3 linked regions of the Daphnia pulex genome follow. The protein of the gene in region 1 purifies or fractionates together with the protein of each later gene. This does not show direct contact. Links are inferred from orthologs where the notes say so. Each region holds a gene or a part of one and is shown on either strand. Other genes may lie near its edges.

What was found. Proteins that work in one complex are often made in the same cells at the same time.
Region 2: the proteins of protein lingerer-like (region 1) and fragile X mental retardation syndrome-related protein 1-like purify together in Drosophila melanogaster (affinity purification with western blotting; 3 studies listed by BioGRID, with this or other methods). This does not show direct contact. The link is inferred for Daphnia pulex from reciprocal best matches to the Drosophila melanogaster genes lig and Fmr1.
Region 3: the proteins of protein lingerer-like (region 1) and ras GTPase-activating protein-binding protein 1-like purify together in Drosophila melanogaster (affinity purification with western blotting; 3 studies listed by BioGRID, with this or other methods). This does not show direct contact. The link is inferred for Daphnia pulex from reciprocal best matches to the Drosophila melanogaster genes lig and rin.

What each region holds. Positions count from the first base shown.
Region 1 is NC_060028.1:8,099,140-8,104,547, forward strand, and holds the start of protein lingerer-like, read left to right. Parts: upstream 1-1,888; 5' UTR 1,889-1,935; exon of another isoform or gene 1,936-2,028; intron 2,029-2,043; exon of another isoform or gene 2,044-2,442; intron 2,443-2,503; 5' UTR 2,504-2,588; coding exon 2,589-2,765; intron 2,766-2,841; coding exon 2,842-2,925; intron 2,926-2,988; coding exon 2,989-3,096; intron 3,097-3,153; coding exon 3,154-4,044; intron 4,045-4,111; coding exon 4,112-5,408. Other genes in the region: reticulon-4-interacting protein 1 homolog, mitochondrial-like, read right to left, coding at 1-43, 108-725, 796-843. UniProt on the Drosophila melanogaster protein: Acts in the nervous system to mediate the control of copulatory organs during courtship.
Region 2 is NC_060025.1:5,456,777-5,461,873, reverse strand, and holds the start of fragile X mental retardation syndrome-related protein 1-like, read left to right. Parts: upstream 1-1,790; 5' UTR 1,791-1,900; coding exon 1,901-1,951; intron 1,952-2,277; coding exon 2,278-2,330; intron 2,331-2,387; coding exon 2,388-2,541; intron 2,542-2,646; coding exon 2,647-2,810; intron 2,811-2,950; coding exon 2,951-3,044; intron 3,045-3,108; coding exon 3,109-3,251; intron 3,252-3,311; coding exon 3,312-3,459; intron 3,460-3,525; coding exon 3,526-3,807; intron 3,808-4,025; coding exon 4,026-4,138; intron 4,139-4,209; coding exon 4,210-4,451; intron 4,452-4,864; coding exon 4,865-4,993; intron 4,994-5,072; coding exon 5,073-5,097. Other genes in the region: integrator complex subunit 6-like, read left to right, coding at 31-201, 261-430. UniProt on the Drosophila melanogaster protein: Polyribosome-associated RNA-binding protein that plays a role in neuronal development and synaptic plasticity through the regulation of protein synthesis of mRNAs.
Region 3 is NC_060021.1:6,438,326-6,443,691, forward strand, and holds the start of ras GTPase-activating protein-binding protein 1-like, read left to right. Parts: upstream 1-2,059; 5' UTR 2,060-2,215; intron 2,216-2,365; exon of another isoform or gene 2,366-2,512; intron 2,513-2,650; 5' UTR 2,651-2,743; coding exon 2,744-2,841; intron 2,842-2,912; coding exon 2,913-3,090; intron 3,091-3,150; coding exon 3,151-3,267; intron 3,268-3,325; coding exon 3,326-3,412; intron 3,413-3,476; coding exon 3,477-3,851; intron 3,852-3,911; coding exon 3,912-4,079; intron 4,080-4,147; coding exon 4,148-4,331; intron 4,332-4,387; coding exon 4,388-4,578; intron 4,579-4,633; coding exon 4,634-4,777; intron 4,778-4,838; coding exon 4,839-5,111; 3' UTR 5,112-5,366. Other genes in the region: ethanolamine-phosphate phospho-lyase-like, read left to right, coding at 1-151, 226-313, 384-503, 573-817, 947-1,132, 1,203-1,296.

The DNA of each region.
Region 1 (5,408 bases):
CCCTACCTAAAACAAATGGAAAGAGCAAATTCTTCCCATGTGTCTGAATAATAGTAGTAAATAATAAAATGGTGATAAAAAAATTGTAAAAAATGTTTGAAGTATACTTGATGATAATGATGATATTGGCTCCTAATCACTTTTCCGTATCCAAAGGTGATCTTGATGTCAATGGGATCAATGGAGGATGCTTTAACTTGGATCATGACATCTTCAGCCCCACAGCTATTTGGAGCTACCATGTCATCAATCATAGCAATTGACTCTGGAGCTCCAGCATATGAATTACAAACTAAAGCCCTCATGCGTGTAAGGGGCTTGACATTCTGTTTGATTTGTATCCCAATGATGAATCCAATAGCAATTCCAGACAAGAGAAAGTAAATATGGCTTTGATCAACTGCTGACAAATACTTCTGAATAATCTGAAAACTCAGCATGGATTGCAGATGATAGAGTTTTTGTTGGATATAATCTAAAACACTTTCGAAAAATTGACCCATTCCATTGTACTGAACAGCCAGAGACTGTTTCAAACTATTGATCCAAGAACGGCAATTCTCAAGAAACCAACTCCATTGCCAATTGGCCCAGGTATGGAACGGAATACCTGAATCGCTTGATCCCACTAAATTAGAGAAAGCTGAACTGCTTTGATTTGATACATAGTTTAAGGCATTTTTGGCTAACCGTGTGCTGTTTTCAATATAAGGCGAAATCGTATGCTGCGTTTAAAAAAGAATTCTTTTAATATTTATCTTCAACAACCAATTCAACAACAAGAGAAAATCTTACCTGCAAATAATCGAACCGCTCGCCTATTTGAAAGGTAAGCCTGTCCATTCTTACGCAAATTTCTTTTTGGCTTAATACGAAGAATCCACACTTGAAAAGGATAATTTAATTAACATTTTTCGTAAATCTTTTAAAATCAAAACAAACGAAGAAAAAAATAACGTGAAATAACGTGATACAAAACATATGATGGCTCTAAATATCGATCATTTGTTTTTTCTTGTAAATCGATAAGATTCCGATATGCAAATTTTTTTCCAATTTTAACACTAATAAATTAAAGTGAATGCACGTTTACACGATTCGGAAAATACAATTGAATCTCAGGAATAAATATGGGTTGAACTCACGAAAACGCTAGGTTTAAATTGCGCGCGTTTTATAGAGCGGTTAGAACCCACTTGACATGTACATTTTTGTATCTTTAAAAAATTCTAAAAGATAAATATTATTTTTCCTTTCTTTATTCTCGAAGTAAAAGTCAGAAAGGACGTTACCAATAAACAAGGACCTCCTAGTCCTAGGCATTACATGATATTTCGGCGCTAAAACTACTAGCGTTACGGCGGACGATAAATGCGCTACCTGTATTGGAAATCGAATAACTTATCCTTTCCCTTTTTTTCTCGGTATCTTTCTTTTCCACGAACATTTTCTTTGCATTTGGAGAATCTCATTGAAAGGAATACGATGTAAATTATATTGCTTGGGTTACAATCTCCTCTTGGTGCTTAATTTACTCTTTATTGACGGAGAAAACGCTGGCTTAGCACAATCTCGAAGGCCAACAAATAAAGAAAGCTATAACAAATGTTTTAGTCTATTAAATTACAACCTATTTTCGTTTCCTATAGAATTCGTGTAAGTCGGTGCAATAGAGATACATCCGTGGGTGTTATCAGTCTCTCGGAAATAGACAGGTGGATCAATAAATGGATCAATATTTTAAGATATAGCAACTAGCAAGCAGCTAACTTGCGGTACATGCATGAAAATAGATGCAAGGGAGGGGGGTACGAAGTACGAGAGAGGCGGCCTATATCCGTAGATGGTTTCAAAAGCGAATTGGCAGCGTCGCACTCGCAGAGTTAACAAAAGTGTACGACGGCTTTTGTGATTCATCGTGTAGACTACTCGCAGGTACGGCCTCGATTTTAACTTTGGAATTTGTTTAAAAACATTTCGTGAATTAACACTTCGGTTGTGATTTGTCGTAGTGGAAAGGGAAATAAGGTTGTTAGATGAGCATTTATAGTTTTCGGTCCAACAGTAAATATATCTCGTGTCTTGCATCCAACGAGGGTTTCACAAGGGGCTTATGGAAACGGGCGCGGGCGATGATTGTTGCCGGCGTCCCCCCCTTCTTTTTCTTTGAGCAAAGATGGCGTCTCTGAGCCACATGGCCTATCCTTTGTATTGTTCTTGATGTCGAAACTGCGATTTCAGAACATTGCTCAACGTCTTGCTGAAGCCTTTTAATTGCAATCCATTTTAATTTTCATTGTGCTTTTTATTATTTGGTGAGGAAGTCGGGTATTCACACCATCAATTACAACGTTTATAACTCACGTCGTAGTTGATTCTGAATGATTTGTGTCGTTGAATTATTTGAAGTGTAGAACATTTTCGTAACTGGGTAGTAGATAGGTTCATCAGTTGTGTGGTTTATTGATGTTACCTGTAATTTAATGTAATTTTGTCTTTGCAGAATTTCTGTACATAGTTGTGTGTACATACAAATCGGTAATTGGTTTGGGGCACAACAGTACTAAACCAGTGGCAATCTTGTACGAATGAGAATGAGTTCAACAGCTAAGAAAGGGGATAAAGGCAAGTCCTCCACCAATGCTTCTCAGACTTTATCCAAGGACACAGCATCCCATTCTTCCTCAAAGATGGCAAATTCCAAAACTGGAGAGTCAAAAAATGATTCCAGCAAAGCAGTTGATCAAATCAATCCTAAGCTCCTGGTAAGTTCGATGCCTACAGTTTTCATTTAAAATCTGTAACTGGTGCAAATAATGATATTTTTTTTTTAATGTTTAGCCTACTGCTGAGCAACTTCGTATTGCTCAGATGATCAGTGACAGCAGAAAGGATGATCCAGAACTTCCAGAAAAAGTCAACAAGGTGTGCAGTTACATTGAAGAATGTATTTTGTATTTTCTAACTCAGTTCTTTGTGTATTTTTAGCTGGTGGAGTTGACCAACTGCAGTCCTGATGCAGCAATCATTGCTCTCCATGATTCAAATAATGATTTGGAACATGCCATTGCAGTCCTCCTTGATGGAGAAACTGAGGTAGTTACTTTTGTGAAAAATAAATTAGTGAATATGTACCAATTTGATCAATTTTAGGGTGACTGGGAAGTGTCAGGGAAGAAGAAGAAACCCAAGCAGTCAGCTCAGCAACCAGTAGGTGGTGATGGAACGGAGGGTGGCAGTGGAACAGGAGCCGGACGTGGAAGGGATCGCGAGAGGGACAGGCCAAGAAGCAGTCGTGGTGGCCCACCTAGGCTGCGAGGACGCGGCCGTGGTCGAGATAACAAGGAAAATGTGGAAGAAGGTGATGGGGAATTTGGCGGATCTCGTGGAAGAGGATCTCGTAGCGGCCCACGTATGTCAAATGGACCTGGAAGAGAAGGATCTAGTGGTCGAGGTAGTGGTGGTGGTGGTCGAGGTGGTCGAGGAGGTTTCCGCCGAGGACAACGTGGCCCTGCCCCAGTCGCTGATACATGGGAGGAAGGTGCCGAGTACTCAGCCATGACAAACGTTGAGCCTTGGGGAGTCGACTTTCCATCGGCAGAAGATTGGGATAACGAAGAATACATCGGTTCATTGGTTGAAACAAAGGTGTTTACACCGTCCCAATCGGCTGCAGCAAATGTTCCAGCACCAACACCCGTTATTCCCGAACCTACGCCGCTGACGAACGGTTCAACATCAATTTCTAACGGCGGCGGTAGCAGCAGCAGTAGCCATGTCGAACCTGTTGTTCCTGTTCCTGCTCCTCCACCTCAGGTTCAATATTCCACCATCAACAACAGCGCGCAACAAGGCATCGACTTGAATGCACTGCTCCAAAAGACGTCTGGCGTCACAGTGGCTGGATCGTCGATGCAGCAACAATTCCTACAATATAGCCAAGCAACTGATGCACTAAAAGCTGCTATGGGTGTTGGCGGAGTTCCTTCATCCAACATGAAATCCGCGAAGCCTTTGCGAGCTAAAATCCCTCCACCTTCTAAAGTATGTTTAATTCCCATTAAGTAAATTTGTAATTGAACTAACGGCTGCTTTATTGTTCCTTGTGCAGATTCCTCTCTCTGCAGTTGAAATGCCGGACGATCCAATTGTTTCCGGACTGGATGTGAAATTTGGAACCCTTGATTTTGGTATCGAACCTTCCGGTTTCGATATGAACATCGACGTTTCGATGATTCCTTCATCCACAGCGAACATGAATATGTCGAAGCAGCCAGATCATCATCAGCAACAACAACAACAGCAGCAGCAGCAGCAGCAGCAACATCATCATCATCAACATCAACAGCAGCAGCAACAACATCAACAGCAGCAGCAACAACATCAACAGCAGCAACAACAACAACAGCAGCAATCGAAACATGGACTTATGTCGAAGATGGAACAGCAGTACGCCAGTAATGCTTCTGCTCCACAGCCGCCTGCACCTTCAACATTGCCCAAACCCGATTCTTCTCTAGGTGGTTTTTCCGCGTCGTCAGCATCGGCTTCTCAACAATCGATGGCGACGACATCCACTCAAGTAAAATCGACCAATAGTCCAGCGTCGTATCCATACGGCACGTCTTACGCGCCTCCCGGCGTGAATAGTGCTTCTACTCAGGCAACGACTACGGGTGTCTCTCAGCCGGCTGGTGCTTATCCCTCCAGCAGTCAGACAAGTATGTGCCTACCTGAAAATGAATTCCTGTATTTGCTTGGCCAACATTATTTTAATCCGCATATCTACTTTCAAGGCGGTGTGTACAGTAACAATTCATCCAACTCGGGATATCAAGGTGCTAGCAGTCAAACCGCTTACGGTTCTTATGCCCAGCAACAGCCACAACAGCAACCTCAGCAACAACAGCAGCAGCAACAACAACAATCTAGTTACCAGACGTACAACAACAAATTGAGCGCTGCCAGTAGCTTGAATGATGCATCGAGCTCCGTCTCTTCGCTAAGAGGAGACATGCCCAGTGCTACGGCTGCGTCGGCTTCTTCTAGGCAACCCAGCGCTGTAACGTCTGCAGCTACTGCGGCAAACAAGCAATCGGGCACGACGCTTGCTGCTAGTGGTTCGGGACTTCCCAACATGCCTCCTGGTGTGCCAATGCTTGGTCCTGGCAGTTTCATCATGGGCCAGGCTCCCGGTCTGCCCTATTATGCCGCCGCCGCTGCTGCTGGTATCCAGCATCAACAAGTGTACAGTCTTGAAGACATGCAGTATCGGTATCCCCACCTAGCTGCAGGGTACTATGATATGGGCTATCAATCGCCTACCAGTTTGGGCGGAGGACGCGATGGAACTCTTGCTTCGTTGGCTTATGCCACTGGAACCGACGCTAAGTTCTCGCGCAATGAAA
Region 2 (5,097 bases), on another chromosome or scaffold:
TTATTCACTTTTAAAACAAATATTCCTTAGACGTATACGGAAACCACGAGAATAGCAGTTACAGTTTTCTTAATTGCACCGGCGTTGGCGACAAACTGTCTCTTAATGGAAATTTACGACGCTCCGAAATTCAAGAAATACAACAACATAATCTTCAAGTCAAATCTGCTGCATGTCGAGCAATTAAACGACCTGGCAGGAGTGAGTTGTAATCAGTCTTATTCAATCTTGGCAAATATTTGACAAATTTTATATTGCAGATTTTAGTGGCGTTTTCAATGAACTTTCCCGTCTTAAAGGGTCGTTGGACTTACGCAAATCTGTAGTCATGGATGTTATCAGCGAATGTCTCAGATTTAAGCGTCGTATTTTGGCTGATCTTGTTAGGCAATTTCTTAACAGCCTTGGAAGAGACCCAGAAGTTTTATAATGTGTAATTTTTTGTGAAACTATTGCTCTCAAGATGTAGGCTTGAAATTCAAAACAGAATCATTAAGCTGTTAAAACAAAAATGATGTGCCCAGTTTTAGTATTTATTTCATTTATCTTCCATGAACAAGTTGATATTGTGATGTACTTGTAAGCATGTAAGCACACCAATGAGTGATACTGGAGCGTTCCTTCGTGTGATTTAAAAAAAAAAATTTAAGTAAAATTTGGTAATCAGATAATTATTTTTTTGTGAATTTGTAACATTAATTAGTTTAACCTAATCATGTATTAAATTGATTTATCGTTTAAACTGATGCAGTAGGGCAGACAAAGTGCTGTTAAAATTTGGCATCGGGTTCGGGTTACGGATGCTACTTTTGTTGGTACCGTGGATTAAGTAACAATAAAAAGGTCTAGAGGTGCATATTCTCATATGCATCGGAGAATTGTTCCGAAGCTTCCAAAAACTGCGGTAATTTTCCTGAGTTGGATAGTTCTTTTTTTTCCAATGGTCTCGACTCGAATTGGCCAAATCACGATTCAGTTTAACTCAATTTGAATCTTTTATGAATATTCGGTTTTGGGTATCCATTTCGATTCACGCTGAATTTTTACATCAAAAGATTACAGCAAATAAATCTACTTTTTGTTTTTGTTAAGTATAATCGAAATTGGCGTGATAAAATACTTTTGGAAAGAAGCAAACTATCAGCTTCAGCTGTCGTGACCGTTAGTTGTGTGCCTATATCATTCAAGTATAGCGGTAACACTTTCTTTTTCTGCTATTTAACTTCTTTTTTTTTTAATTGAGACGAATTGTTTTTAATTGAGACGAATTGAGGTTGGGATTTTTATTCTAATAAATTGTTTTCCATTAGAATGTTTTCTTTTTTTCCATTAGAATCAGCTCGAATGCGATTATTCACATATTTTTACATCCATTATGGTTTTGACTTGAAATAATAAATTCCGAGTCCTCGGGATAGCATAAGATTTCTTAAAATTTACACAGAAACTTAAGGAATTTTCTTAAGAAATGCAAACCACCGGTAATTTTTGAAACATTATTCTAGGCTCAATAGAGAGCAAGAAGTTGATAGACGATCTTTCGTAAAAGTTGATAGGTAACCATCAACATCTTATTAATCCCAATTCCCAACTGTGAAGTGTTAACCTGATTTTATGTCAAAACAAATAGGGATCGCTTTCGTTTTAGCAACATTCCATAAAATTGGAATTGTATTTTACATTATCTAATGAAATATAGTTTTAGTCTGTATTCTAATTTTTTTTAAGATGCAGTAGTTTAACGAAAGCGACACGTGACGAAAACTGACGATTGGCAATAGAAAACCAACTCTGAGAAAACGTTGATCATTAGAATAAATCTGGCAAGGGGAAACGAGTCATAGGCATTGCAATTTGGAATTGAGCAATTTGGCAACGGTGTTCGAGCTCCCCGAGGAAAATGGAGGATCTTGCCGTTGAAGTCCGGGGTGAAAATGGGGCTTGGTATAAGGTGAATAATAAAATACATATTTATTAATTTCTGTAGCAATGTCAATTCTGTATAAATTTGAATTATTTCTTCTGGATTCATCATGTATAACGATAATATTGTTTATAGTCTTTTAAGTCCGAAAATGTTAGGCTGGAATCGGTAGTGAATGAACCGGCCCTGCCCTTTTTGATAATATGGCTTGGCTTGTAGAATTTGTTAGTATTAAGGATTTACCGACTGTTTTGATGCAAATTTCTACGTCCTTTTTTATAAATTTTCATAGCTGTGTTTAGTTTGTCTTATTTTGTGTTATAACTATTTGAATTTTATGCCATCTTCTACAGGCATTTGTCACTGATGTTCATGAAGATGAGATTTCTGTTGCATTTGAGAATGAGTATGTATATTAAATAAGTTAGAATTTACCAAACCAATAATTACCCTTTTTTATTAGTTGGCAGCCAGAAACAAAGTTTCTATTTTCAAGGTCCCGCTTACCTCTCAAGGACAGCAAAGGTCCATTTACATTTGTAGAAAACCAAGAAATTGAAGTTTACTCAAAAGCAAATGAACAGGAAGCATTTGGTTGGTGGAAAGCTGTTATTAAGGTAATTTTCTTGATTAATTCATTTTTAAAGGAAACAAGAAAATATTTCTGAAAGATGATCTAGAATTAATACATTGAAATTCATTGGTATTTATTTTATTCTTAGATGATCAGAGGAGAGTTTTATGTCGTGGAATATGTTGGCTGGGAGATGTCATATTCGGAAATAGTACCTGGTGAGAGAATTCGTCCATCAAACACCAATTCACCTTTAACAAAAGCCAACTTTTTCAAATTTGAAATTGAGGTGCCTGAAGAACTACGGGAATAGTGAGTTTTACTTACACTTGTTAACTTAACAAAACCCAAAACAGTATTAATTATTCAAATGAAATGAGAAAAACAATATTTATTTGGTGTATACCAAAAACACCTAAACCAAATTGTAATTGCACCACTATCTGTTTCAGTGCTAAGAGGGATGGAGTACACAAGGAATTTCAAAAAGCGATTGAAGCAGCCGTCTGTCGATATGTACCCGATAAAGGAATGCTTAGTGTTATGGTAAGTTTTGTTTTTCTTTATTTATTGATCTGGTATTAATGTATTAATGTTTTTGATTGTTCAGTCACGGCACGAATCCAGTCGAAAGCGAGCTGGTCTGTTGCAGGATATGCATTTTCGTAACCTGACGCAAAAAGTGGTGCTGCTCAAAAGAACTGAAGAAGCTGCTAAACAGCTCGAATGTACAAGAACACATTCTAGCGGAGGGTGAGTGAATAGCGTCAACAGTTTTTTGCATTTCTTACTTAAGTTATCTTATTTCTGAAGCTTTACGGAGGAGTTCACGGTGAGGGAGGATTTGATGGGATTGGCTATTGGAGCGCATGGAGCCAACATTCAACAAGCTCGAAAGATTGATGGGATAACCAACATTGAGCTATTGGAGAATTCCTGTACCTTTCGTATACACGGAGAAGTATTTCATTTACCGCCTTATTTTATTTCATGTGGTTTTGTTGTAATTGGTGGTTTCGAATTTCAGATTGAAGATTCAGTAAGAAAAGCTCGTGGAATGCTGGAATATGGCGAAGAATCCATTCAGGTGCCTCGGTTTTTGGTCGGAAAAGTCATAGGAAAGAACGGGCGTGTCATTCAAGAGATTGTCGACAAGAGTAATGTTGTCCGGGTTAAAATTGAAGGAGACAACGAACCTAATCCGACTCATCCTCGCGAAGATGGATTGGTTCCATTTGTGTTCGTGGGCACAGTGGACTCCATAGCCAATGCCAAAGTCCTTCTCGAGTATCATCTAGCACATTTGAAAGTACGAAATTTTAGTCTAGTTCCTCCTAGTATCACCATTTGTAGCCTCTCTTTGCAACGTTTTTGTTTCTATTCATTCAGCATGGTTGATTCCAAATCAGTATTAATTATACTTGACATGGTTACTTTCTGTAGCAGTAGACAATCATACATTGAGTTGTCATCCCCCTAAAGATTTTTAAGCTGCTGTATTAATTACTCTTTTTTGACTGTTTCCAGGAAGTGGAACAATTACGCATGGAGAAATTGGAGATCGATCAGCAACTTCGCTCTATTCACAATAGCAACCTAACATCTGCCCCTACCTTCCCACCTCCACGACGCATTGATAGGTATTTTGGCTGTTTGTTTGTTTGTTTTATTTTAAATTTCTTGGCATTCCTCCAATTAAATTTATTTTTAGGGGGTATAGTGCTGAACCAGATAATGGAGGAAATCGTGACCGAGGAAACATGACACGTGGTCGGGGTCGAGGTGGAGGGAGAGGAGCACCTGTCAGCAGTGGTCGTTTTGTGGAAAGATTTAATGTGGAAAGAAGTGGGATTGCATCATCGGTGAGGGGTCGAGGAGTAACTCGTGGTCGAGGAGAACGGGCTGATCGTCTGGAACGAAATGAGCACGTTGAACGAGGAGATCGCGACAGCGGTGAGTCTTTACACACGTGTGTATTTTCATGACTGAATTGAGGAGAATGTTATGTCCATTGATTAACACAGTATCCGTCCTTCCCCATAAGGGGATGATATGATGTGTGCTTTTCGTACACTTTTCCAATATCTATGACCTACAGTAGTTTTGCGATTCCCTGGAGGATGGGAAAACATTTGGGCAGATGTTGTCATGTCTTCTAGTAATTTGTTGTGATTCGTAGACTAGGGGATGTGTTGAAAATGCTATGACTAATGGAAAAGTGGTTAAAAGTTGTTTCTTGTGCGAAGTTAAAAGGGGAAATGAAAAGCATTTTGTTCTAGTTCAAACCTGAACTGCTTGTCTTTTTTTCTTTTATGTGACTGCATTTTTCGGTGTTCTTGGTCTAATTTCCACGTGATCGTTTTCAGGTTTTCGAGGTAGATCAAGAGGATTCCGACGTGGTTTTGGAGATCGCATGATGGATTCTGAACGGCGTGGTGAAGAGGAATCGGCGCCAGATAGTCAAGATCTTTCGAGTGCTGCTAGTCTAGACAGGGGTAATGAGCTGACGATATGATTTTCGTTTTCTTCTTGTATGCATTGGTCTTTCAGTAACTATCATTTTTAATATTTTAGATTCCGGCTCAAGCAATGAAGAATC
Region 3 (5,366 bases), on another chromosome or scaffold:
CAAATCAAGAAAAGTTTTGCGAAGATGCCCAAAGGGTAATTGAAAACGCTTCGAAAAATGGACGATCAATTGGCATCCTTTTGTCAGAAATGGTCATATCAGCAGCTGGATTGGTGATACCACCTTTGGGCTACTTCAAAAACCTCTACCAGTAAGTGCTGCACATTCTTCAATAAGTTTACATTACAAGATTTGATTTGTATTTAATGAAATGCTATGTTGCAGGATGATTCGAAACCAAGGAGGTATTTGCATTGCAGATGAAGTGCAGACAAGTTTAGGTCGCATTGGAGGAGATTTTTGGGCGTTCCAGGTTGCGTCATCAAATTAATAAGATAAATTGTTGAAAATTTAAGTATCATAAGAAATCTTTTGTATTCTAGTTGTATGGTGTCGTGCCAGATATTCTCACTTTTGGAAAATCCATAGGAAATGGTTTTCCCATTGCTGCCGTTGTAACATCGAGAGAGATAGCAAGTTGTTTGCCAGAGTATATGAATACGGTAAATCTTGTAAAAAAAGCGAAACGTGTCACCCCATTGTGTTAACTCGCTTTAAATGAATTCTTTTAGTATGGGGGAAATCCTTTGGCGTGCGCAATTGGTAAAGCAGTCTTGGAAGTGATTGTCAACGAAAAGTTAATGTATTCAGCCAAAATGGTTGGAAAATCCCTTTTGGAAGGACTGAGAGGATTGATGTCGAAGCACCCAAGTATCGGAGATGTTCGTGGAATGGGTCTTTGCGTCGGTGTGGAGGTAGTTTGTGGACGTCCAGATATGAAGCCTGCGACGATTCTAGCTAATCGCATTCTTTATTTGTAAGGAAACTTTTAAATTTATGTAATTAATAGAAGTTTCTCCAAATTTAATGCCATTAATCAATTTGAAACAAGAATTAAAAGTAAATACTAAAGCCTGTTTTTTTTTTTTTTTTCAAAATGCTGTAGGTTGAAAGAAGAAAAGGTGATTGTTGCTACCCAAGGTGAAGAACGTAATGTAATCGCCCTAACTCCACCACTATGCTTTACGTTGGACAATGCCCGGCGTGTCGTTGAAGCATTCGATAAGGCTTTCACGAAGGCCAACCAGAGTGAAGAGTCGGAACCAGTAAGGCCTAATACGTCTTTTCTCGGGTACGTTAATATTGGCGCTCAAAATGAATTGATTTGACATTATGTTAACTTTATTTTCTCTTATGAGTAGACTGGATAATATTCCGCTCAATGTGATGGGAGGTGACGAAGAAACAGATACGTCTCCTGCTAAAAGACAGAGAACCTATGAGGAAATGGACTAAAGATATTAGTTAATGCGACTTTTTTCTCGTCTGTTTTATATATTTGTGGAAAAATCCTCATAGTTTTATAAGTTTTTGTTACTGCTCTGTTAACGTTCTCTAAATCCTGCGTTAAGTCCGTCATATTTCCAGCATATCCAAGATTTCCCGACGGCGATTTAGGGGGTGGTATACATACAGTTCTTAAATTCCTGAGATTCTGGTCAAAGTTGTTATAATTTCAAAATCTCATAACTAAGGTTAGGAGTTGTATCTCATTATGTCTGGGTCATAACTGGATTAGTTTAAATTTTGGAGAGGAAATATCATTGTGGGATGTTTGTTTTTACTTTGTTATTGTAAACATTGTGTATTCACTTATAAACTTTGGGACAAATATACGTTGTTAACCAATCCTACGAAATTTCTCTTTCATTTTGTTACTGTATCCTTTTTGCTGATGCCAACACATTTATTAAGCAGAATGCCCCATTTCTTTAGGTGATTGGAAACTAATAAAATTGTTCTACGAAATTCCTCCATGAATTTTGACGCTGCTATTTTAAGCTTTTCTTGACTGCAACTATACTGTCACATCTCACATGAACATGGCCTCGTGACTCATTCGTAATGCAAAAAACGAAAAAAATAATCTCTTATTACGCAGAAGAATATTTTTGCATAGCAAAATGCTCGCAGTTTTGCAAATTGCAATAGACTTTTTAAAAAATGTTGGATTTGCGATTTGCCTGCTGCGCGGCGAAATATTTTAAGTGCGTAGAATTCATTTAATGAAATCGAGAAACGCTGGCTGAAGCGCCTCCAAGCGGCCCACAAGCCGAAACCTAGGAAAAGAGAGAAGAAAAAAGAAGCCGAGCATTGGTCAGTGCATAGTTGCATGTGTTGCCGCGTACGAATTGCTTGTTACGGGTATTGAAAGGTAATGTGTGTTTTATGTTAAGCTTCATTATGCCGAAAATTGAATATTTGAATCACGAAATTCTTTAACCTTTGCTCGTGACTATATTTATAGCTTTTACCTACCAAGTTAAGTAACAACTCTATGAAAACTGAAAGCTGTGATCGGGTAGAAATTTTTGAACTCCCACAGCGTGAGGGGTGATACTACCTCGTTGTTCGTTCGTTGTCTTGACAGTCCCATTTTGTTGTTCGTTTTCATTCAAATTTAGCCAGTAACTTTCTCTTAAAGTATTAAATAAGTTTGTTTGTTGCCAAGGTAAAATTATTGCTTATCTGGGTTGTGATTTTAAGACTAAATTGTAAAAGATAAAAGTTGCCACAGAATCTGACTCAGTCCCTTTGTGCAAGATAAGAACTCTTGATAAATTAATATAATTCTTTTTTTCTTAACTAGGTTCAATTGAAGTTATTAGACTTCAGTAAACCATACAGATCTTCCCACTTCAACTTCATTTTCTAGTGAAAACTATTCTTCAATAAAATCAGCATGGTCATGGAAGCCGTTCCGAGCCCACAATGTGTGGGAAGGGAGTTTGTACGTCAGTACTACACCCTTCTCAATAAAGCTCCTCTGCATTTGCACAGGTATCTATAGACTGTGGTGTAACTCATGTAAGGATCTTGATCTTGTGGTAGTAATTTTGTTTTAACATCAGGTTTTACAATCATGATTCGTCATTTGTCCATGGAGGACTCAAGGAACGTTTGCCAGAAGAAGTCCATGGTCAACAGCAAATCCATCAGAAGATCATGGAGCTCGACTTCCATGATTGCAAAGCGAAGATCTTGTTGGTTGACTCCCATCGCACTCTAGAGAATGGAGTTGTTGTCCAGGTATGATGTCTTACTATTAACATATTATCCACAGTTACCAATGTGCATCCTTTTTCCAAGGTATCTGGTGAGCTGTCCAACAATGGTCAACCAATGCGCCGGTTTGTTCAAACTTTCGTGTTAGCCCCGCAATCAGCTAAAAAGTACTACGTTCGCAACGACATCTTTCGCTATCAGGTAAGTTACTACTAATTATCCTGATTGGTTTCATAAATAAAACGTTATTCATTTTCAGGACGATGCTTTCTTTGACGATGAGGATGGCGTCGAAGACCGTCCAGTTGAGAACGAGAATGAAGTGCAACAACCGCGTCCCGCTCCCGTAAGATTCGTTAATTGGTCTTCATCGAAATTCAACCATTTCAATTACTTTCTGTCTTAAACAGGTTGAAGTTAATCATGCTCCGGTGGCTCCCGCTGTCGTTCCTCAACCAACGGTCCAACAAACTGAGTTGACTGCCGGACATGCAATTGGAATGAACGGAACTGATCAACACGTCGAAGAAGAAATTCGTCAGAGGACTACTCCTTCGGTCACCACATATACGGTTCCACCTGTTCAACAACCAGAACCCGTACAACAAGTCTCTCGTCCACCGAAAGTTGTTACACCTCCAACTGCAGTAGCAGCACCACCACCACCTGAGAAGTTCGAAGCTGCTCCCGAACCGGTTCGAGAACCTGAGCCACCCTCTGTTCCAGAGCCAGCACCTGCACCTGCTAAACGTGCACCTGAGACAGTGGCGGCTTCTAATCCATCGGTATGTCAAAATATACATTTCAAGTATGTGCTCTAGTGTAAAGTGGGATTGTTTTATCAGGCTCCCTCAGAACCGAAGACCTTTGCAAACTTGTTCAAGAACCCCGGCGCTTACAATGGCACAACTACTGGTCTCCCCTCAACCGTACCTCCATTTGGTTCGGTGAAGAGCACTACTACAACTAGCTCTACCTCTACTGCTGCTCCTGCTACTGCTCCTGTTACTCAGGTAGTTGTTTTAAAATCATATCAGTCAAGGTTCAGAAACTTTACGATTTACTTTTTTTCATGTTGTAGACCAACACTGAATCTACCTCGGCTACTACAAACGTCAATGGTAACGATAGTTTCCCTGCTGCTGGACAAACACAGCCGCAACGAAATAACTATCAACGCTCTGCACGTCCTCCAGCGATGGGAAATGGTCGCACCGTATCGGGTCCAGGATCTTACAACAACAGAGATCGAGATCAAGACCGAGGTAAGATTTTCTTTACATCTCTATCCGTGTGTATTTAATTTCAAATACTTACTTAGGCGAAAAAGGTGAACGGTGGTCCGATAACCGTGCCCCATCTCGGGACTCGACTGAAGAGATCGGAGAATGGAAACAACCCAATGGAGACGGTTACCAACGTGAAAAGGACCGTGAATTCCGTCGATATGATGACAATCTTCAAGTTTTCGTTGGGAACATTCCTCACGTAACAACTGAAGAAGCTCTCAAGGTATTTCCTTTGCACCAACCAAAGTAGGGCAACCATTAATATTGGTTCTTTTCAGGAATTGTTTGAGCGTTTCGGCCCCGTTCTTGATGTTAGGATCCACGGCAAGAATGGTGTCCGAGCTGCTGGTGGAAGAGCTCCACTCTACGCTTTTGTTGTTTTTGAATCGCCAAAGGCTGCAGAAGCTGCGCTTGCAGACAAGGTATTCAACTTAGCACAGAGGAGGGAATGACAGTATAATTGAATCAATATTCTTTTTGTAGCCCATGCTGAATGGAGATCACCGACTGAATGTTGAGCCGAAGCGTCGCAACGGCCCACCCAACTCATCAGGTCCTCGCGACGGTCAGCGTGGTGGTTCGATGAATCGCGGAGGTGGCATGGGAGGTCCTGGTAGGGGAGGGCGTCCCATGGGTTCTATGGGAATGGGCATGAACAGCGGCCCACCACGCGAGGGAGGCAATAGTGGAGGTGGTGGAGGACGTGGAATGGGAAGCGGAGGTGGACGTGGTGGATACATGCCTCGTCGTCAATAAAGAAGGAAGGCCGTGTTTTCTTGCAAACCTTTTAATTTTCAAACTTACTTTCTTTGTCCTCATGTAGGACTTTCTCTCCACTACGTTTAATTTAACCTACCAGTTTATTATTATTTTTTTTTTTTGCGTTTTCTGATACACCAAACCCGTACCAATCGTACTAAAATCTTGGTTTGTCTCGTTCGTTCGCTCGCTCTGACCCCACTGTCTCATCCTACTAACTTGATTGGACTTTCAGTCGCAATGTACATATTC